3 linked regions of the Alligator mississippiensis genome follow. The protein of the gene in region 1 interacts with the protein of each later gene in a pairwise test. Links are inferred from orthologs where the notes say so. Each region holds a gene or a part of one and is shown in the gene's direction. Other genes may lie near its edges. The genes, in order: C6H1orf216, ODAD1 and MYRIP.

The links.
Region 2: the proteins of C6H1orf216 (region 1) and ODAD1 interact in binary tests that used the Homo sapiens proteins (3 or more experiments, as listed by UniProt). The two-hybrid records come from large-scale screens. The link is inferred for Alligator mississippiensis from reciprocal best matches to the Homo sapiens genes C1orf216 and ODAD1.
Region 3: the proteins of C6H1orf216 (region 1) and MYRIP interact in binary tests that used the Homo sapiens proteins (3 or more experiments, as listed by UniProt). The two-hybrid records come from large-scale screens. The link is inferred for Alligator mississippiensis from reciprocal best matches to the Homo sapiens genes C1orf216 and MYRIP.

The regions. Positions count from the first base shown.
Region 1 is NC_081829.1:8,811,282-8,818,309, reverse strand, and holds the start of C6H1orf216 (UPF0500 protein C1orf216 homolog), read left to right. Parts: upstream 1-3,931; 5' UTR 3,932-4,100; intron 4,101-7,028.
Region 2 is NC_081828.1:38,585,707-38,593,160, forward strand, and holds the start of ODAD1 (outer dynein arm-docking complex subunit 1), read left to right. Parts: upstream 1-4,414; 5' UTR 4,415-4,531; intron 4,532-4,983; exon of another isoform or gene 4,984-5,173; intron 5,174-5,641; exon of another isoform or gene 5,642-5,849; intron 5,850-6,415; exon of another isoform or gene 6,416-6,428; coding exon of another isoform or gene 6,429-6,495; intron 6,496-7,454. UniProt on the Homo sapiens protein: Component of the outer dynein arm-docking complex (ODA-DC) that mediates outer dynein arms (ODA) binding onto the doublet microtubule. Involved in mediating assembly of both ODAs and their axonemal docking complex onto ciliary microtubules.
Region 3 is NC_081828.1:134,550,023-134,557,212, forward strand, and holds the start of MYRIP (rab effector MyRIP), read left to right. Parts: upstream 1-4,090; 5' UTR 4,091-4,460; intron 4,461-7,190. UniProt on the Homo sapiens protein: Rab effector protein involved in melanosome transport. Serves as link between melanosome-bound RAB27A and the motor proteins MYO5A and MYO7A. May link RAB27A-containing vesicles to actin filaments. Functions as a protein kinase A-anchoring protein (AKAP).

The DNA.
Region 1 (7,028 bases):
ATGCAGCCCAGGATGCCGTTAGCCTTCTTCACAACAAGGGCACACTGCTGGCTCCTATTCAGCGTCTTGTCCACTGTAACCCCCAGGTCCTTTTCTGCAAAGCTGCTGCTTAGCCAGTCGGTCCAACCTGTACCGGTGCATGGGACTGTTCTGTCCTAAGGGCAGATGTCCCGGGATTGCATCACTGGACCAATGAAAGAAAAGCAGCAGTGCATTCACCCACTCACTAAACCCTGATTGGAGGGGCAACGTGTATACATGCCAGTCCTGTGACTTTTCTTTTCTGGGACAACCAAAGGCACAACTTGTCCCAGGACAAATGCAACATCTGTTTGTAGCCTGTTCGTAACACCAAGGACCCCACTTCAAGGAGTCTTTGTTGTGCCGGGCACCTTAGAAATAGAATAAAAGGCCAGCCCTAACGAGCAGTATTGCTGTGATAGGGTTGTATTGCTGTAGGATTGAGGACATTAGCCAGGGCTGGGACACTCATGGTGCTTGGTGCTGTACAGAACAAAGACACATCCCCTGCCCCAGAGAGGTAGAAGTATAAATCAATATTACAGCTGACTGCTTGGGGCCGGAGCTGAAGGGGGATAAACATAGAAAGGAGGAACACAAACCCTCCTTGTGTTCATGTGAAGCACATTTTTGTCCCCCTGTCACCTCTCCAACCCCCAAGACTCATGTTGCTTAACATGCTGACTTCATCCAAACCATTCAGAACCCCTTACATTTGCTCTTTCCCTTCATCCTGGCATTAAGCCTGACAATGCCCCTTTATGCCCAAAGTGTTTGTGGTGCTTCATGTGACCTTCTTGCTCCAGGCTTTGCATTCATCCCTGCTTGTTTGATGTGCTACTGCTTTTTATTTTAACCTTTGGAGACACCCCCAAGTCCCAGCACAGATGGATAAAAGGTCTATTGAGAAAGCTGCATCCATAGCCCCCTCCCTGCGCTCTGCAAGGAGCTGATGGACTGTGAGGTAGGTACCACGGGGGAGTCTGGGTAGCCTAAAGCTCATAGGACTGATCAGGGGGATTGGGAAGAGGTAGAAGGAGGAGCTGTTCTGTTCATGAAAAATTGTCTTCAATGTGTTGCTGGGTGAGATGCATCCTCATACACATGCCCATACACATGCACACAGGGGGTATCTGCTGGGCTACAGGCTGTGTTTGGGGTTAGACCCCCAGAGACGTTTTGCCAATACCGTCCACTCATTACCCAGTAGCAGGTGGTGGTGCAGGGACATGTCCCTCTTTTCCTTCAGGTTTAGCAGGTTTAATCACCAGGCAGGTACCCCATAGACTCATGTTGTGCCAAAAGCCAGGACACATTTTGTAGCTTTGCCTCATTGCTTCTCCACTGGAGTTTTTCTGGGACTCCGAATAAATCTGGAATATAGCAGAGAGGCCTCATCAACCTGAGGACTTTCACCTGCCCAAAAGGGTTCTGGGAAGCTTCTCTCACCAGTGCGTGGCCAGCTAAGCAGCATGATTAAAATCCCAGCCACTGCCTGTTCATCGCAAGCCCCTTACTGTGGTATTTGTAGAGAAAAGAGTGATTCTAGTACACCACCGGTCTTGATGTTACAGCAAAAGTGGTAGGTAAGAGTAGCTTGCAGATCCCATTAAACTACATTATTAGGTGGCAAATTCTCTGTCTTTGAAGTCTTCTGAAACCTTTAATTAAGCTAGAAAGATAGTTGGGTTTTCAAGGGAGTGCCCAGGGAGGCTGAGAAAGCTCTTAACCACTAGGGAGATTTAATGATGGGAGTCATACAGCCAATGGGCATCAGCATCATATCCAGATGTAGCTCTGTGGAGGGCTCTTTAATCTGGAGATGGGACAGGCTGCCCTGGGACTCAGGGTGCAGACAATGACAATTTTTGCCCCATCTGGCCCCTGAAAGTACTCTATAGCCCTGTCCTAACACAAGTGCATGGCTGCAGAACACTTTAAAAGGGCCTGATCCCGCAACAATCTGAACTCTCATTACATGAGGGTTCAGATGAAGGTGCTCCAAACAGGAGTGCCTTCATTAACTTCTGTCTGTGCATGCTGGGTGCTTTCAGAATGGGGGAGGGGGAAGAGAGAGTAGGGAGCTCATTTTGGTTGTTGCTTAGTCAGTGCTGGAGGGTAAGGCAGGTGGCTTGGATGCCCCCAAGGTTGGGGGATCCAATTCATCCATCCTCTGACTCCAGTGCAGTCTGAGGAAACCCCAGAATGCAACTCCTTCCCCTGCCTTCTCCCTCTCCCAGCCTGAGACAGCACCAGGGGCCAGGAGAGGGGTAGTGGGGCTAGGGGAAGAGGGTGCAGAGTTGCAGCTTTTCTCTCTGGATCAGCTCCAAATTGGAGCTTGACCCCCCCTCCCCACTGACCCAACACCTAACCTCTTTTGGGTCAGGAGGGTCGGTCTAACTCATGGCGCTTTCTGTGAAGCACCATGAGTTAGACCAGGAAGCGGCACTTCTGTCTGCACCTTCAGAGATTCTGCACCAGCCCAAGGGACAGGGGAGCTTCACATCCTCTTGCTGCCCTCATGTATCCAGGTCAGAGAAGCCACAGACTTCTGTTATAAAGAGGATCAGAGCCAGTCCCATTGCTGGGCTCTCTATTAAAAAGATCTTATGCCCCAGGCCCTGGAAGAAAACATGGCTGTAGTCCAGGACATTCACTGACCAGATGCTCTCTGCACAGAGCTTCATGATAAGCCATGGGCAGGGAAATCCTTGATCTTGAAATATTGCCTCAACCCATCACACCCATGGTAGAGGTGAAGGGAGAGGGGCTTCAGATGGGCCAGGTGTCCTACTTGAGAGAAGGCCTGATGCTCTAGTTCAGCTGGACCAGCACCAGCTATAGCAATTTCTAAACAAAGGTCTTGCAACTGCCCTGGTTTCCACTAAAATCTCCCCACGTGCTTTGTACTTGGAAGTTACCATCAAGTGTGCGTTCCCAGCAGCAGAGCTTGGCTGCACGGGTGTCTCAGAGCGCACTGGTACAACCAAGGCTAGGAGGTGAGAGCACCTCGCTTCCTTTCTCTACCTGCACCCCTCCGACTGCTTAGCTCCACACTCCCATCCATTCCTGGGCCCCACGAAAGACAGAGGGACTGACAGGGTCTCACACCAGAGGCAGGGTTATGACAAGCACACCAGGTGAGCAGTGAGTGAGGCTGTGGGGATGGATCAGGCTCAAGTTTTGGTCTGGTGAAAAACCAATTGGAGACATGGAACACCCCCCCCCCCCAATTGCACTGCGACTGTTCCTCTGACCCCTTGCACATGCCTGGGGGTGCGGGGGTCACATACCACTGACATGCTAGCAAGACTGCTGCCAGGAATATATGTCTGTTTATTCATTCCTTTGTATTGTGGTAATGCCAGGGAAGCAGCTATCACAGACCAGGCCTTCATCATGTGCAGCCCTGTACAAATCCAGGGGGAATCCAGGGCATAATGTATTGGGAATCTGTCCACTTACCAACCAGCCTGATCAGAGCTAAATCTTCCAGAGTGATTTGGTGGCTTTCTGATGCCTCAGATTCCCCGGGGCGACTCTAATGCAGCCTGATTTTCAGAAAATCCTAAGCCACTCTCCCGCAGAAAATCAGGTTCCTTACAGCTGCCTCTAGGCAGGCCCTCCAAAGTTGCTGCTGCTGAAGTGTGAGTCGGTGATGTGCCGGACGCTCAATGCAGGTTCCTCTGCACAGCACGAGCATCTCTTTACTTACCGAGGGCTGATCTCCTGGCTGAGTGTTGTTTCCAGGGAAGCTGATTCCATCGCTAGGGAGACAGATCATCTTTTATAGGCTCTGTTAACCCCCCCCCCCCACACACACACACATACACACACTCACTTAACAGTGCCAGGCTTGTGCTAAGGTGGCCGTAGGTGCTGCCTTGCATTTCTTGCTGCCTGCTGATCATCCTGTGACAGGGCACTCCCAGCAGCGCCGGTTGCTGTAGGAAGTATGCAGTACATGACGCTTTCCTGCTGCTGGAGTGAGGACTATTTCCGTTCTCTCCAGCTCAGCAGCAGCAACAGCAGCAGCAGCCGCCTGAGAAATCCACCTTTGCTTTCCCAAGACCTCCTTGGTAAGTGTGTGCATTACGCGGGGGGGTTGTTTGTATTTGGTATGTGGCAGGAGATAACCTGATGCCAGGGGTTGAAGTCACCTACTTCCCCACCTCGGTGCTAGGCACAGGGCAAAGAGCACAGCCCCATGGTCACATTTGGACCCCTTTGACAGGGTGTGTGTGGGGGGAGTGGGGGTTTCTACTGACTTTCCAGCACTTTGCTGTTCTGCTCACACAGATGGTACCAGGACCCCAGCCCCACCTGTGCTTGGCCTGGTGTGTGTGTGTGTGTGTGTGTGTGTGTGTGTGTGTATGTGAGAGAGAGTGTGCATGAGCACATGTGCATGTGTGCATGTGTGCACATATGCATGTGCTTGTTGGGTTTCTGATTTGCAAAGCGTTCATTGATTTATTTGTAGGGTCCCACAGCATGGACAGGGCTTTTGCTCGGTGCCATCTTAGGGATGTGTGGCTGGTAACTGTTGTACCACACATGCCCTTCCCCTCCCACCCCCTGGCCCCTGCCCCAAAACACAAAGTTTGGACGTAGGCATGATAAACCCTCCTGCCCCTTCCCCTTTGAATGCCCAGGTGCTGAGCCTGCTACAGCCACATGAGCTGGTACAGGGGACCCTGCCGTAACTGAGGATCAAGGTTAGCTCAGTGGCCACATGAGGATGTGCTGGGACAGTGATTCCAACAATCTCATAATCCTGATCGCATCTGTTTTCTCTGTCTCCTGGCAGGGATTACCGTGAGCATTAGAACCCCTTTGCCTCTGCGTTGCCTTTCCCTTGCATTTTCCTTAAACCATTTGCAGAGCTCACAAGTCTGGGGAGCTGTGTGGTTTTTCCCCCCCAAACTCTAGGCATGCGAGAGAAAGGGGAGGTCCACCCTGCCGGCACGCTGCAAGGCAGAGCTTTGTGATGTTTGTACGGGGACAGCACAACTCTCCCCTGTGGCTCTGGGCACCATCCATCACATGCTACCACCACGCTGCAGCACATCATGCTGTCTGCTGCTGCTACACACACACACACACACACACACACACACATCTCTGCTTGCCATGGAAACCTCACCATAGCAACCATACTGGAATCCAGGTTTAAAGGGACAGGGTCATGGGGTGCAGCACAGGTGAAAGTGACCCCGTTCAAGTAGCCCTGAAAACACTGGGCCTCCTCTTCCCGCTGGGACCAGTCCTACACCAGTGTAGCTCCGTTCTGTTAAGTGCAACTAATCCTGGTCTACACTGGGGGAGAGGGGAAGAGGAACAGGATCATGGTCCGTATGCTGCAGTCATCCTGCAATGAGGGTCCATCCCCTGTAGCAGGAGGCTGGGGCATACACTTGGTCCTGTTGCTGCTGCAGTGGCTTCTGCTGAGCTGCAGGCCATAGCTGAGCTGTAGCCCTCTTGTAAAGCAGGTACCTGGGGAGCTGAGCTAGGGCTTTGCCTCTGAGGGCACAGACCTCTCTTCCCTGAGGCCAGTGGGGGCACTTGCAGTTGGCTGCAGCTGGTCCTCAGTCCCAGAGAGGCCTGTCACTCACACAGGCCCACGAAGCCAGCCCGTGACACCCCACGCTTCACCCCAGCTCCACTCTCTGCTCCTCTTTCTCCCTCCTGGGATTGCTCCTGCACCAGCAGCTTCAAGGATTGGATTCTGTTTCCTTCTAGCTTTGCCCCTTCATCTTGCCTTGTGTTTCAGGCACCCTTACCTCTTGCCCTGTAGGCATTCCTTCCAACATTTAGGGATATCCAGACCTAGATCCAGACTCACCCCCTGCCTGCGTCCAGTCCAAATCCTGGCTTTCAAACACCTATAAACTCTGGGTATTTGCAGCTTGAGCCTGGAGTGACATCTCTGTGGCACTTTTCTTGCTGATTAAATAGCTTTTAGTGCATTTCCCCTCACAGCACTCCTATGCAGCACAGTAGTACTATTCCCCCCTACCCATTTCACTGGCTCACAGGGGCTAGAAGACTCACCCAAGGTCTGTGGTAGGGAAGTGGTTGACCCCACTTCTCCCAAATTGCAGCTCAGTGCCTTAAATCAATGGACTGATGCAGAGAAAACTCTCCCAATTGCTTTAGCAAACACCCGCTTTTGTGAATCCTCTACATCTGATCTGTCAGGGGAGTTGCCATCCAAGATATATTGGTTATTACCTCACTGAGGAATGGCAAAGGTAAAACAACTAATGCTGGTTTTGGGTAGCCTGCTAAAAATCGCAGTCCTGCTTAGGCAGGGCTGGCCAGGGAAACGTCCCCAAGTTACAGTCCATGCAGTAAACACTCCCCATCAACACTGGTATTATTCCCACTCAACCACTAACTTTTGCATGGAAAAAAGGGGTAGCTAAGCAGTCTGGTCTCCTGGGGAGGGAATCTTGTTCTCCTGGGTTTTCCTGCATGTGATTTCTAGCACTAAGCTTTCCTCCATCTCTATTCATAACCCTGGTAGGAATTCTAGTTTGACATTTTTTTTTCCACTGGTTCCAGTTTGTAATGAAGGAGCAGGCCTACTGGTGCTATTGGCATCCTTGAAAAGTCAGAGACCAATGGAAAGCTGCACAGATCTATTAAAATAATCCAATGGGATGTAATAGGATTTCCACTGGGGAAGGTGAACAGACATTAAAAGAAGTAACCAAAAGTGTTTCAAATTTACACAGGTTCCCTTCATACGCCTCACCAACAGGGACAAAGTTTAAACTGTTTCCCACTGTTTCCCACAGCTTTTTTCTTGCAGCCTACAGTGTTTTGCACGGCTGACTTCATGCTCCTGGCTTGGTTGGTGCAGGGAAGAGATCCTGTGTGATGATGTCTATTTAGGCCCGTTAATCCAGACCGAGCATTGCTCCTTATCAGCCAGACATGCCCCTTTGCGGGGTGGGATCACGCACGTCATTCGGAGTGTCGCTGTCCCTTCAGCACCTTCATCG
Region 2 (7,454 bases), on another chromosome or scaffold:
CCTACCATTGCCCAGGGACCAGTACTTGAGATGGGAGGTACCCCCTGTTGGATTTCTTCCCTCAGCAGGATGCCCCCACAACCCCCCTACTATGCTGCCTGCAACCTGGCATCCCTAGCATCCTCTACCCACTCCCCAAAGCACAGTGCCCCCCTTCTCAACAGCTTGGCACCTCTAAGCATCCCCTGCCCTTTTCCCTACCCCACAGTACCTCCTCCCAGCTCCCCTAGCACAGCAGCCTGAGCCCTCCCAGGCACCAGGCCTGAGCCCAGGTCCCCACCCAGCCCTGTACCATGAGGAAGCTGCCTGGCGCCTGGCCCTCAGCAGTTTGGCCACAAGACTTTTCCTGCTGCAAACCAAGGCTTCTTTGAAAGGGAAAACAACCAGCCATTGATTCCACAGAGCTGGGCGGGTGGGCTTCAGGATGGGGCAAACTGACTCCCTCCAGGGGGGGCTCCAGCCCCATCTACTTGGGGGGTGGGGGGCACTGTCTGGCTGAGGGGGTGGGGATGGGACAGGGACCTGTCCCTTCTAGGGGGTGCCCGTCTCTGGCCACGTGTATGGTGTCCACATTTCCAGTTGTTCTGCCCAAGGGCTGTAATTGTGGCAGGGAGGGCAGGGTTTGGACAGGGCAGGGATAAGCTGGGGCTGGCTCTCTGAGCTGGGGTGGGAGCAGTGTCTCTGCTGGGGGGTGTGCTATGCTCTGTGCTGTGGGTTTGGGTCTCTGCACTGAGAAGTGGGGGTGCTCTCTTTGTGCTGGCACCAGCTGTGGCTTTATGGAGGTACAGATGCCTCCCAGACGGTGAGGGGGGGACAGCAGCCACCTAGCAGTGGTTTAGGGTGTGTGTGGGGGAGGAACGGATTTTTCTCTCCCCTTTCCCAAAAGCAGCGGGAGAGGGAAGCACCCAGCACCCTACGATCCCCCTTAGCACCTCCCCCTGTGCAAGTAGAGCCAAACTTTGAGACTTTGCAAAAGCACATTCCTCCCTCCCTGACAGACAGACAGATATCCCCATACCCACCCAGACTAAAAGACAGGCACCCCCCACCCTGGGGACTGCAAGGGGCAGCAGCAGGGAGCAGGGTACCTGGGCAGGTCTGGGCACTCCTCTGAGACGCAGGCTGTGTCGCTCCCTCTCTTCTCCCTTCCCCTGTCTCTGCGTCTGTGCCTGAATAAATAGTAACTCCCCCCACACCCCTGGCAGCAGCCCCAGGAGGGAGGGGCCAGATGAGGATGTCCTGTGTCTGCTGGCTGGGGGGCTGGAACATGGGGCCCCCACCCCGAGAGAACACCCTCCCCAGCTGGCACCACATGGAGAGCACTGAGTCCCTGCCCTTGTTGTGTGTCTCCCCACTAGCCCTCCACCCTCTGTCCCCCTCAGACCATTGCATTGCAGGCACTGCCAGCCCGGGATTCCCTGGCATTGCAGGCTTCCCCACAGATTGGCCCAGACTGGGACCTTGGTTCCTTTCCCAATTTTGGGAGAGGAATGAAGTCTGGTGGGTCATAGCAGGAAGGCTGGCAGCCAGAACTCCTAGGTCCTATCCCAGCTCTAGAAGGACAGAGGTGCCTGGTGATAACAAGCAGGGGGGAGAGCCTGAGGTCCATTCCAGCTGTGGGAAGGGAATGAGGGTCTGGTGTGCTGGAGTGGGGGTACCTGGGTTTTGTCCCAGCTCTGGGGGAGGAGTGGGGTCTGGTAGAGGGTGCAGGGAGCTAGGATTCCTGGGTTCCATCTCAGTTCTGGGAAAGGGAGTGAATGTCTGGTGTGCTGGAGCAGAGAGGCTGGGGGCCAGGACTCCTGGGTTCTGTTGCAGTTTGAGGGGCAGCAGGTTGTAGTCTTGTGGATTACCATACTGCTAGGACTCCTGGGATCTCTCCCAGTTCTGGGAAGGGACAGTAATTGGCCACCTACTCAGAAGACAACTGGGTGCTGGTAGTTTAGGACCCCCCAAGACTGAGAATACTTGTCACTGATTGGGGAAGAGCTTTGGAAAAGTGGGGAATATTCAGTTGTCTTCCTGCCTAGAGCGGGGTGCTGAACCCGATGATCTGTGAGGTCCCTTCCAGCCCCTAACAATCTATGAATCTATGAAAAGAGAATCTGGACATTATAAATCCTTCAAATAATTTTGCATCCTTTTGGTATAACACTATAGACTGAAATTGTATATATGTTGGTTGAGGTTGTGGGGGAGGGGTGCACCTCCTCCCTGACTGGCAGAATGAGGCTTGGACCACAACACAGTCCCTGATTGGCTGAATGCTTTGGAACCTTGAATGGGGTGGGTAATTTAGCATTTAATTTGCTGACAAGTTGGAACGTTGAAAATCATTATCTAGGGGGATGTAGCTCAACCTGAGACTGGTTGACAGGGAGGCCAAGTTGGTTGTTCCCTTGGTCTTAAAATAGGACATGTGGTCTTCAAGCCATGGCTTTATGTTCCCCAGCACCAGCAGGAACCTCCAGGTGATGGCTGGGAGGGCGAGCTGCACTCCCATCTGGGGCTCCTCCCTGCCCTTTGCAGGTTTCAAAGCCACCAGCTTCCTTCCACCACTTGGCATATGTATGTGTATGGGGTTCTCCCTAGAGAAATACACCTCATCCCTCTTCAGCAGTTGTTTCCGCCAGGGCCTCTGACTTCCTCTCCTATTTTTGACAAGTCTAAAAAGACAGCCCCTACCCTACAGTCTCCCCAGTTCCTCTAGCAAACTCAGGGCACCAGGGCAGGGAGTTGGGGTGGAGTTCACTGGAGGTAGGAAGGGGCTGGTGGCATTTACTCTCTACATCATGCTTTTTTCAGAAGCTTATAAAGGAGCCACAGGAAACTGCGAGGGGCTAGGGGAGACCCTGGGGAATGTGGGGGCAAGAGGAGAGTGGACCCTAGGACAGATCCCACTGGGTCACCCCAACTTCATAGTTTCATAGTAGCTAGGGTCAGGAGGGACCTGAACAGATCATCTAGCCTGACCCCCTGCCACAGGTAGGAATGAATGCTGGGTTCAAAAGACCCCAGACAGGTGGTCGTCCAACCTCCTCTTGAATATGCCCAAGGTAGGGGCGAAGACCACCTCCCTGGGAAGTTGGTTCCAGATTTTGGCCACCCTAACTGTAAAATATTGCCTTCTGAAAGTGGCAAGGGGCTACTTCAAAGTGTAGCCCCAGAATCCTGGCTGTTCCAGGGAGCTCCCCAGAATGTCTGCCTCTTCCACAGACCTCAAATTGCACCCCTTTAGTGTTGCCCTCCAGGATGCAAAGAGAGCATTAGTCTTAGCTGTTGAACCCCCAAAGACTCTCCAAGCTCTCAAACTCAAGAGAGCCCCCCCCAACACTTCAGGCCCTGTCTGAGCAGGTGCCTCTCCAACCAAACTATCCTTCCCACCTTCCACACTCATTCAGCTGCTCCTCAAAACAACCCCCCCAAAAAAACTACCCCAAACCAGTGCTATGAAGCCAATGGCTGGAGGTTTCACACCATGGCAAAGGAAGAAAACTTCCCATTTTGAATGGAAACCCCAAAGCTCACAACATGACACCTTAGTGGAGTGTCTGATGGGAAGGGCTGGGGTGGACAGGAGTCTCTTGAGCCAGACAGGGATCTCCACTCCTGCTCACCCAGCTGGGGTGAGGAGGCTCTCACTTCCCACCTCTAGAGACACCCAGAAGCAGAAATACAAGAGAAGGAAGTTCCTCCTTGTGGCTGGGGAGAGGTTGCAGCAAGGGAGGGCTGGGAGCCAGGACACCCCAGTTCCACCTCAGCTCTGGGCAGGGAGTGGGGTCTGGTGGGTTGTTAGATCAAGGGAGATGGGGAGCCAGGATGCCCGGGTTCTATCCCCCTGGGTCAGTCTCTTAGCATCCTAGCAGGAGGCTGATGGAAGGGGGCTTCTCACTTGGCAACACCAGGCAGAGCGGTGTAGTGCAGGCCCTCTGAAACCGCACATCCAGCAGTCCCAGCTCAGGCCCGGGGGGGGGGGCAGGGCGGAGACGGGAGGAAGTATCGCTTTCCGCTCCCCGGAAACCCCTGCCCACTCAGATGCCTGGTGCCCTGGCAACTGTTGTGATGGTACAAACAGACGGGGGCAAGGGGGGGGGTCGGCTGTGGTTTGGCAGCTTTCTGGGCCGGACTGTGGTGTGCCGGGGTAGTCCGGCCTCTGACTCACGTGGCTGCAGACCGCCCACAAGGCTTCGTGGGGCACTGCATGCAAATGAGCTGCCCCCGGTCCCGCCCCGGGCACCCAGCCGACCCCTCCCCGCGCCCGGGAATCCCTGAGCAGCCTCCTGCATCTCCTACCCAGCACAGCCAGGCGGGGTGATGCGCATGCGTAATTCGCGCTCCTAAAGGGAGGAAGTGGAAGCAAATGGCGGGAGAAGCAAGGGGCGGGGCCTGTGCGTGGGCGGGGCTTTGGCGAAGGGAGGGGAAGGAGCTGTTGGCCTGGCGCATGGGTATTGTCACGCCTGGGTCCTGATTAGGAGGGATGGAGGTTCCCCCTCCCCAACAGGAGATCACAGTTGGCCTCATCGGGCCTGAGCTGGTGAGATTTCCCTCCTCTCCCCCCGCATGGGGCTGGGCAAGACCTGCTGTAGTCTTGATGTGACCTGCCATAGCCTTGGCATGACCTGCTGTGCTGTGGCCATGCTGTGTCCTGGGGTGGACACTGCCACTCTGTGGCCCAGGGGACCTGTGCTGGGCTTGCTGTGACTCTCTGGGCCATGTGCTGACCCAGGGGGGCTGCAGTGTCCCCCAGCTTGCTGGGGTCCTGTGACTTGGCATCTTCCTGTGGCATCTTGCCTAGATGTGGTCCCATGGGGCTGTGGTGTGATCTGACCTAATGGGCTGTTGGTGTGAAGAGGTCTGAAATGGTTGTGGCACAAGCTACTGTGGCTTGGGGATGTGATGGGACTGGAGCCACCCAAAGTGGTTTGCACATTATTAGGTCTTGGCATGAGCAGATGCGTGGTCATTACCCTTGGCTTTATGGTGCAGGCATGTGACGGGGCCTTGGCATGATCTGGTGGGGCCTTGGAGTGGTCTAATGCTGCAGACTTGTGATGGGGCCTTGGCATGACTGGTGGTGCCAGCTGAACTGAACCTTCCTCCCTGCTTTGAGCAGTGATGGTGCTGCTTGTCCGGACAGAGTGGCCCCTACCTGGCTGCGATGCCCTTTGGGATGAGGGTAGGGTTATGGCCATGCTTGGGCAGCACATTCCCTTACCCCACACTGCAGTCCCCATCTCGTCCCCCCTCCCCACCCCCCGTCATCTGCACCAGAGCTGGGGTGTCCAGTGAGGGGGTGGCATGGGAGTGTGGGACTGAAGGAGGTTCGGGGGGAGGAATTTGGTTGGGACTGAGAGTAGGGGTAGAGGCTGAGGGTTACATGGGTGGAAGGTATATGGATGGATGAGGTTGGAGTGGGGAAGGGGAGAAGAGAGGTCATGGGGGGGGGGGCTAGGGATGGACTGAAGGGGGTGATGGGAACTATGGAGGCATGGGAGAGGAGTGGGGGGTGGGCAGCCAGGGGGGAGTGGCATTGGAGGGTTGTTGGGGTGGGGGGGAAGGGAGGGGAGTTATGGGGGGAAGGGAGGGGGTAGTGGGAGGGGTGTTCAGCCCACATGCATTCTCCCCTGCCTGGCTCCGCCCCCAGGCTCCATCCAGCTCCTCCATAGGCTGAGATACTTTAACTTCCTGGAGACTGTAACTAACAACTGAGTTGGAGGCGGGTTGGAGGAGTGAGTGATGCAGAGACAGGGAGCAAGTGCCAGAGTCCCCTGCACCCTTTGGAGGCTGTGACCTCCCCCTCCCTCTGCCTGTGCCTGCTTGCGGCCTTCAAGGACCATCCAGAGGAGACCCAGGTATCCCCTGCTCCAGGTTCCTGGGAGGGCAGGGTTAGGAAGGGCTGAGAACAGGATTGCCCCATACCCACCCTGAGCTGACACCTTCTCCCTAAACTAGCCCCTTTGACTCACACCAAATCCCCAGCCCTCTCCAGAAATCACCCTCTCCCCAAAACAGCCCCCCAGCTTTCCTACCACCCTGATCTGCAAGCACCGTGTGAACCAGCTGTTATTTTGCCCCAGTTTCACCCCCAATGCTTCCCCTTCCCTCAGCCCAGCCCAGCTCCTTTAGCTTCTGTATTAAGTTCAAGGGCACAGCTCCCTGGGAGCACAGGGCTTGTGAGAGGGGTTGTTTTTACCTACTGTGCTGTGTCCCAGAAGCAGCCACCCTCTGAGGCAGTGTAGAGAGCTCCAGTGTCAAACCAGACGCCTCTGCTTGTCTGCCCCACATGTGATGCCCTGTGCTGCGTGGAGCACCCTGATATAAACCCCCGTTAAGCTGCCCTTAATGAGACCAGCAGCCTGGGAATAACTCCACAGTGCCCAGTTAATCTCTGTCTCCCTTTTTTGTGCCCCAACATCAGCAAGGAGGAGAAGATGCCGCTGCACCGCTCTGCCTTGAGCAACCGCTCTGACAGCAGTGACTTGGACCTGGATGGCATTGGTAATGGCTTTGCCGCAGGACCTCTATTGGGCCCTGTCCTGTCACATCCTGGTCCTAGGGACATGGTGCCCCATCTCTTAATTCTCAGCCCCTGAGGGCCTCTGCACACCACTACCCCTTTCCATGCTCCTCCCAGCTGGCCCCAGACAACCCCAAGATTTTAATTTGGCAGCCAGCCCTTGCCTCATAGGCCATGGGGTACCCGTACATAACCTCACCACACCAAGGCACCCCATATCCATACCCCCAGCAGGACAGACTGCCCTGCATTATGTCTTGGATCCACACCTACTCCCCCTAGGTCTGTGGCAATCACCTGGGTCAGGGGCAGTTCCTTAGCACCCTTAGGTGGGTATTGTGTCCCTTGCCAGGTCCCCGGGGTGGTCAGAGTGGGAGAAGGGCTTCCAGAGCCTGGTGGGAACAGCTTGGGGGTGGAAGAATATCTGGTGGGAGGAGTCAGGGAATGTTGTGGGGGCAGCACCTTGATAGAATATCTTGGGGTCTGGGCATAAGGTGTTTGCGTCATGGCAGGTATCATCTTGTGATGTCATGGGCCCATGTTGTGATCTCATGGGATCTTGGCATGACATCCTGGAGCCTTGGCATGAGGAAGTTATGCAGTGGCAGACAGGGCCTTGTATAATGTCATGGGATTTTAATGTGCCGTCATGTGGGTTGCCTGTGAGAAGGTTAGCATGTGGAAGGCATGGCCTTGGTTTGATGTCATGTGGCCACAGTGGGCCTTGGCATATCATGGGTCTTGTGTATGAGGATTTGGGCCATGATAGGTCAGGGCCTTGGTGTGATATCATGGGGTCTTGGCATGACATCATATGGCTGGGCTGCAAGGAAGTTGGGCCACATTTTGGATGTGTGGGAGGGGCTGGGCCATGGCAGGCAGGACTGTGGCTAGAGCCCTTCTCTGATGCCCCTCTCCCTGTGGCTTTTCCTGGCCCTTC
Region 3 (7,190 bases), on another chromosome or scaffold:
ACTCACATAAGTGGGTATTAGTACCCACATAAATGTTTAATATGTTTTTTGTTTCATTTATGATATCTTAATTCAAATGGTTTTTTCCTATAAAATCTTCCAAAATTGTCCGAAACAGAACACTTTAACTGAAATCAAATAAAAATATACCATACCTTCCAAGGAACAGCTGCAGCCACTTTGAAACAAAGTTAAACAAGCATGAAAAATAAGAATGAAAACAACACCAAAGGAAAATAATTAGTCTGATACAGCACAGTCTGCAATAATACAGGATGTGTAGAGAGCGCAGTCAAATTACAGCAATGATTCACTGATTATGTGAATGACTGACCAGGCCACAACTTCATTATAATAACACAGCACACTCAACCCGTATGCCAGGAAGTCTTGGCAGTTTGAGCCATCTGGTTTCCCTTTACTTTAAATTCACTCCTATCCATCTATATGTGGACTGCACCTCTGCTACCAGTTATTAGGTAGCTGACCCTGTGGGATAGCCACCAGCAGTGTCTTTTGATATGGATTTATTCTGAATACTTTAAAGTCAATAGGAATATTGTTTTTGTCTTCAGTGGGGGAAGGATCAGGGCCACACGGTGTAAAAATTGCATTTTGAGGAAGGTACATTCAAGATTTTAAAAGCGTTAAATATGCATAGACTTGGTGTTATATCATATCTATTTAGTGATGCAGCCAATTAATGTTGAACCTAGTCGTTATTGCTATAACAACTTCTGAGGTGATCAAAACCATCTTATAAATAGCACTTCTAATCTATAGGCTATGTTGTCCAAGCAAATACCAAAAACAAATAGGCAAGGGACATTGAGAAACTCCCCTTTTGTCTCTACTGGCTCTAATGTACTTCCAAAGAACTCTTCCATACTATTTACAGAGGAGTAAACAGTACAGATTGTTCCTTTGGCCTACTCTGCATTTCCCAACATCCCCAAGTGGCTTGCTCTATTGTCCAACTGTTCTTCCACTTAAGACAGTGGAATTAGCTGTCTAGAAACATTGTAGAATCTCCTTCACTAGAGCTGTCTAAGAAGAGATTGGATAGGCAACAGCCTCAGTTTGGATAGGACAGGAGAGGATTAACATCTGCATAAGGTCTGATTTTGATACAGAGGCAATCATCTGACGAGAAAAAAAATCTTACAGGCTTTCCCATAAATCCGTTTTTGCTCCATTAAACCATTCAGATGTGTGGTAGAGCTCCAAGGACACCCATAAGCCAAGATTTACTCCAGGACTCTGCTGTCAAATATGAGACTGGTTGCTATTTGGCTAAATAGCGCAGAAAACATTAAACAGTAAGTAGAAGAAAGCCTTTAGAAAAGGGCACTGAGAGTCTATAACAACTCTTCCACAGAGAAGGAAAAAAAAAAAAGAAAAGAAAGAGAAACAGTTACACAGCAGGGAAAAGAAAGCAGGTGCACTCTGCCTTCCTTTTTTGGCTGGGCCTTATTACACCCTATGCTGTAAGCCACACAAATATTGATCTGTGTTAATACTAGCTCAAGCTTGGAGCAGTGACACGTTCAGGCCAGCAGGGGCCTGGAGGACTGAAAGGTAAGAATTCTCCCCACTCCTCCTTTCCAGAGTTCCCCTCTGCTCCCTAGGGCTCCCTCAAACACCCCTGCCCTAGGGCTCTCTCCCCTGCCTCTCCACAACCCCGGGGGGAATTCCTTGTGGTTGCCTGCAGTGTCTGTCCTGGGGGAGTAGGCAGGGTAGGGTTAACCTACCTGCTTGCTGCTGTATAGCTGTTGCTCTTTTGGTGCAGAGAGAAGCAGAAGCAGCTTCCCCTGGGCAGGTAGTTTAACTCTTCCCTGCCTGCTCCCTGGGACAAACAGCCCTGGGGAAGCCTCAAGTAAGCAGGGGAGGAGGGGTGGGGAGACAGTGAGCCTGGATCTGGGGTGCTGGGGAGGGCAATTGGCGCATTAGCCCTGATCTGGACCAGCTGGGGTGGGGTGTTTACACTAAGGTGTAGCCTAACCTGGCTACACCTTAGTGCAACACAAGCTGGGTGACAGGGATCAGTCACTCTGAGCTGCCTCACAAGTGCTTAAAACCAGTTTCAGGTGTTCACATGTTCCTGGAGCTCTTAACCCCCAGATTGTCCAATAAGAACTCTAGGAGCCACACAAAGTGATGTGTAAGGAGGCCCTGTGAGCATGTCAACATGCCTGTGGGGAGAAAACAAGGAGATCAACCAGAGAAAGTTTGAGAAACATTCTTGTAGGGTTTGTTTCTAAACTAAAAACCAGTCATTTTCCTCTTGGAAGCTAGCTGTCACTGGCCAAGCCATCATCTCCCCAGCCAGGGAGTGCTGCTGCACCCTGAGTTTTGCCGTATGTGTCGCAGGATAAAGGTTGGCCTCCCCACTTTGTTGAAGAACTGTGCTTGGCTTCCCCTCTCCCCTTAGACTCTTCTCTGCTGAATTGCCCCTCGTGTCTGTACATTAAAGGAAATCCTGGGTTCTGGCAAAGCCTGCCACTGGGAGCCCTGCAGTGGTAACAGCAATGCTGTGAAGCAATGAGTACTGCCAGGTCCGAAAAACTGGCCCTGTGCTTGTGCCTAGTAACACATGAAGCTGGGCTGCACTGGTTCAGGCTGTCTCTGTGGTGTGGCTGCTGGTGGGGTGGGGTGGGGTGGGGTGGGGTGGGGCAGGGTAGATGCCCCCAGCAGCTCCCATCCCTTTCCTAGTGTGTCTGGGTGTAGCCCCTCTTGCAGACTAGCCTTTTTCTCCTCTCAACAAAGAAAGTATTATCTGATCTGCAGCCCCTGGATCTGACCCTTTTGCTCACTGGATGCCTGGACCCCACTCCCCAGGTGAGGGGCTGCTCAAAAGATTTCCTCAGATATTTTTTCAATCATACAGCTCCTCCTCATTTACAGTCATAGTTACATTCTTGCAAAATGCAACGTTAAGTGAAACAATGTTTAAGTGAATCCCAGTAGTCACCTACTAGCAGGCGGTGGCCAAACAACGTTCTGACCGAACGTTGTGCGACTTTAAACAAGTTTGTTTTCTAATCAATCAGCAATGTAATAACGAAACAATGTTAACCGGGACAAGGTTAAGGGAGTGCTATAAATGCTACCTGTGCTATAAATGTGTGCTGCGAACAAGGCAGACAAGGTTCTTTGGGTCAATCTGATATCTTTTATTAAACCAACTCAACCAGTTGGAAAAATTCTTCTTTTGGGCACAAACACCCTTCGTTAGGCTGAGGAAGACGGTGTGAATGACTGATTCATGTCCTAGCAGAAGCAATGAATGACCTTTGTGCTAGCCAGGGCTGAGACTTACTTTCCCAAAGGCATTTGTTCCCTTTGCCATATTGAATCAGACAAGTGCAGCTTAGCCAAAGCCCCTCGCCTGCCTATGTCCAAGAGCCACACGGCTACAACCAACAGCTCTGCAGGATATCTACTTTAAATGCAGTTATGTAAAGAAGTGACCCCAGCTAGAGTTGCGGGGGGGGGGGGTGTTTCTTTTGGGGGTTTTCTTTGATTTTTTGGGGTGTTTGTTTTTTGGGGTTTGGGGGGTTTTGTTTTTTGGGGTCGTTCTGTTTTGGGGGGTTATTGTTTGGTTTTTTACGGGGGCGTTTTGTTTTGGGGGGTTGTTTTGTTTTGGTGGAGGGGGCATTTTTTGTTTTGTTTTTCAGCAGTTTGTGGGAGGCTCAATCCGGGCGGGGGGGGGGGGGGGAAGCTTCCAAAAGCATTGGAGGGGCCTTTTGAAATGAAAATGAATCAGAGCTCCTCGTGGCAGAGGTGAGCTCTTTTGTTTAGACTAATAGCTATTTGCCCCCCGCCCCCCAAATAAAAAAAAAAGTCTTTATTTGCTAGACTTTTGATTCCTTTTGCCTCCAGCCCAAGACGGCTCCAGCCTGGGTACCTTTTGCTGTACGAAAGCCCGCCTCCTTCCATTCACGCCTGTCACTGGGTCTCGGCACCCGCCTCCAGGCGTGAGAGGTTATTTTTTTGGTGTGGCGGGGGTAGCCGCTTCCCTCGGAGGCCGCCGGCTCCTGCCCGCTCCCGCCAGCTGCAGTGAGGAGAGGCAGCGCCGCTGCAGTGCGCGCGCGCCGCCCCCCCACCCGCGCGGCCCCCGCTCGGCTCCGCTCGGCTCCCCCGCGGCCGCGCCGGGCCGGCCAGGTGGTGGCGGCAGCGCGGGCGAGGCAGTGCCATGGCAGGCGCGGCCCCCAGCACCAGCGCCAGCGCCCACCTGGCGCCCTGCCCCAGCCGCTGGTAGGCACCCTTGCCCCGCGGCGGGGATCCCCTTCCTCCTCTCCCTGCCGCCCCCGAGGGCAGTGGTGCGAGGCAGCAGGAGCCACCCCGGCCCGCGGGGCCAAGGACTTGCTGACCCATCCGCAGCATCCTTCTTCGGCGAGCGCTGCGCTGCAGAGAGAAGTTCCTACTGCCCAGCTTCCATTTTGGTGCAGGCTGCCGTGGTGAGTACCCACCTGCCCTGCCCTGCCTGCCCTGGCACTGCCGCAGGGGCTCTGTCTTGCTGGGGCAAGCAGCTCCCAGCCTGGGTGCGCTGCGGGGGACATGCAGGAGTTTCCCCAGCTGCTGTGGTGTGAAGGGAAGGGCTGGCAGGTGCTGGGGGGTGCAGTGACAGTCCAATTCCCCCCTCCCAATCCTCCTTCTCTTGCCTGTCGCATAGGTGCGCAGCCTGGCATTGCCCCTTCCCTTCCCCATTGCCATTAGCCCCTGTGGGGGAGCTGGTGCCCCCCGGTGGCTGCGCCTGCATCCCGGGGTGGCTTCGTGGGGGGGCCTGTCTCACCCCCTGTGACGGAGGAGAGGTTCAGATGCAGGGGATGGCTGGAGCAGTGGGGAGGAGGCTGCGATCTGGACTTCTCCCCCACTCCCCCAAACGAAGGTCAAAGCCAGACTCATGCTGTGCCCCTTGATTGACGATGGGATGAAGCCAGCCAGAGCTCACCGTATGCCTCTGTGATCTAGTTAGCCTCCAAGGTGCGATCCTACCCTAGCCTTATTCATTTTCTCCAGGCAGCAGACACCTATTATTTTGTTCCTCCCTTTCCCTCCCACCTTCTCCCCCCCCACCTTGGGTTTTCTCTCTTACTGAAGCACAGTGATGCTTGTACAGAAGAACTGTCATTTACTGGGTTGGAGCACAGGATCATCCTACCCAGTACCTTGGCGCACAGGGGCAGAGCATGGATGCTGAAAGGAAGAGTGAAACTGGGCTGGCCAGGGGTCTGTAATGTGGAAATGTTTATTAAGAGTCTCTAATCTGGACATAGGGAGAGAGTAGGCTCCTCCATTCACTGTGCAAGCAGGTTTTCTGTAGCATGGGGATAAGGCATAAGAAAGAGTGGCGTTATTTCCAAACTGTACGTTTGTAGCTGCCCAGCAGTTATATCCTGCTGACTTTCCCACATTTATAAAAGCAGCATTAATTGGCTGGACCCAGTGCTAGGTCTCAGTGTTTGAATATATTTGCATTAGATTTCTTTATTGTGATTACCGGCCAGATGTCCCAATAGTTTGGCAGGTTTTTAAATAATATCATTATCCGGGCAATGCCATCACAGCATGTTTTTCTTTAATGAATAGAATGTTTTACTATGGGTGAACTAACTTCTGGGAGGACTTTGAGGTTTGTAATGGAAGATATGTATGGCAGCATTTCAGTATATTCTTTCTGCAACTACGGTATATAGCATCACTTTATTTATTTATTTATTTTTTTTTTTTTACAGAAGAGAACACATTTTGCTAGTATCAAGGTCAGCATATTGTAACTACTGGGGAAAATACCATATGGTTTACGATGACTTGTCTTAGGGAATCTAATTTAGTCACTCTGAGCTGTATGGTTTGGTTTATATTTTGTTTGAGATTTATGTAACCGAATTGGATCACAAAATTAAGCAAAATGTCTTGGATTGCAGGTGCCACCCTAAGTAGGTTCATAGAGATGTAAACTGTACCTATGGATTTATGTTGATAGAAAGTATGCTTGTGTTGTTTTTTTTTTCCTCTTCCTTTTTAAATTCATCCCTTCATCATCCCTCTGTGAAAATGTCAGTAGGTGGCAGAGTGAAAGTTATAAAGGCTAGAAACTTTTATTTCTAGAACAGGCATAATGTGGGCATTGGTAATGAAGGTCTTTCCCTTTTCTGTGACAAGATGCCTCAGTCCTGTTCAGGAAGGGCTGTTTATAAGAGGGAGAAGGGAGTTCATTTTCCACATTCACCCAAGCCTTTATAGTTTTGTCCAGACTGTCATCATAGCTTGCCAGTGTGTTTTTGATGATGTAGCTGCCAGGCCAATAGGGAGTGGACAGAGATCATCAACTGATTTTATACAGGTCACTGAACTGCCATCCATCACATATTAATACCATCTGATTATTAACAACCTGAGAGGAATCTGAATTTAAAACTTACAAAGGAACGACTTTCCTAACTCCCTGAACCATGATGTGCCCTAATCTGTCTCTTTTTTTATTTTTTAATAGAAATAATTGTATCAGAGCATGTGCACAGAGGTCTTCTGCCCTGTAAATATGTAACTATTTGCTTATCAGTCAGATTCCACAAGCAGACGGCTTATTAAAAAATATATTTAGACTATAAATGGGAAGATTTTTTTTTTTTAAAGTACAATGACAAAATTGGGTTCTAAGATGCGAATATGGAACATACATGATACATTTCAGACAGTGGCTTCCTGGGACAAGTGTACAAGACTTAATTTGCATTCTTGGGAGGCATTTTAGAACTACTCTTTTAGACAGGCCAATATTTCTTATGAAATGTTCCCCTTTGTAATCTGTACTGTTTGGAAACAAAATAAGGTCATAGTCTATAACTTTCCAAACTGGCCAGTTTTTCCCTCTGAGTCCTAGCAGGGCAGACCCCCCCCCCCCCCCCCCCATGAAAAAAAGCCCTACTGTTAAAAATAATAGTGAATTTGACCAGGTGCTTTGACAATTGACTTTTAAAAGGGACTTCTCTGGGAGAAACGCACAAATAATAAAAGCCAGCTATGAGAATGCAATTACATACAGGGATCCTGCATCACTACCCTGAGAAATGGTAAGGAGAACAAGAGCTACAATAAATATAATGTTTGAATAAGGTTTAAGAAAACATGCATGCATGGTTGACTTTCAAGAAAAGCTGTGTATGCCTAATACATAATTGTCC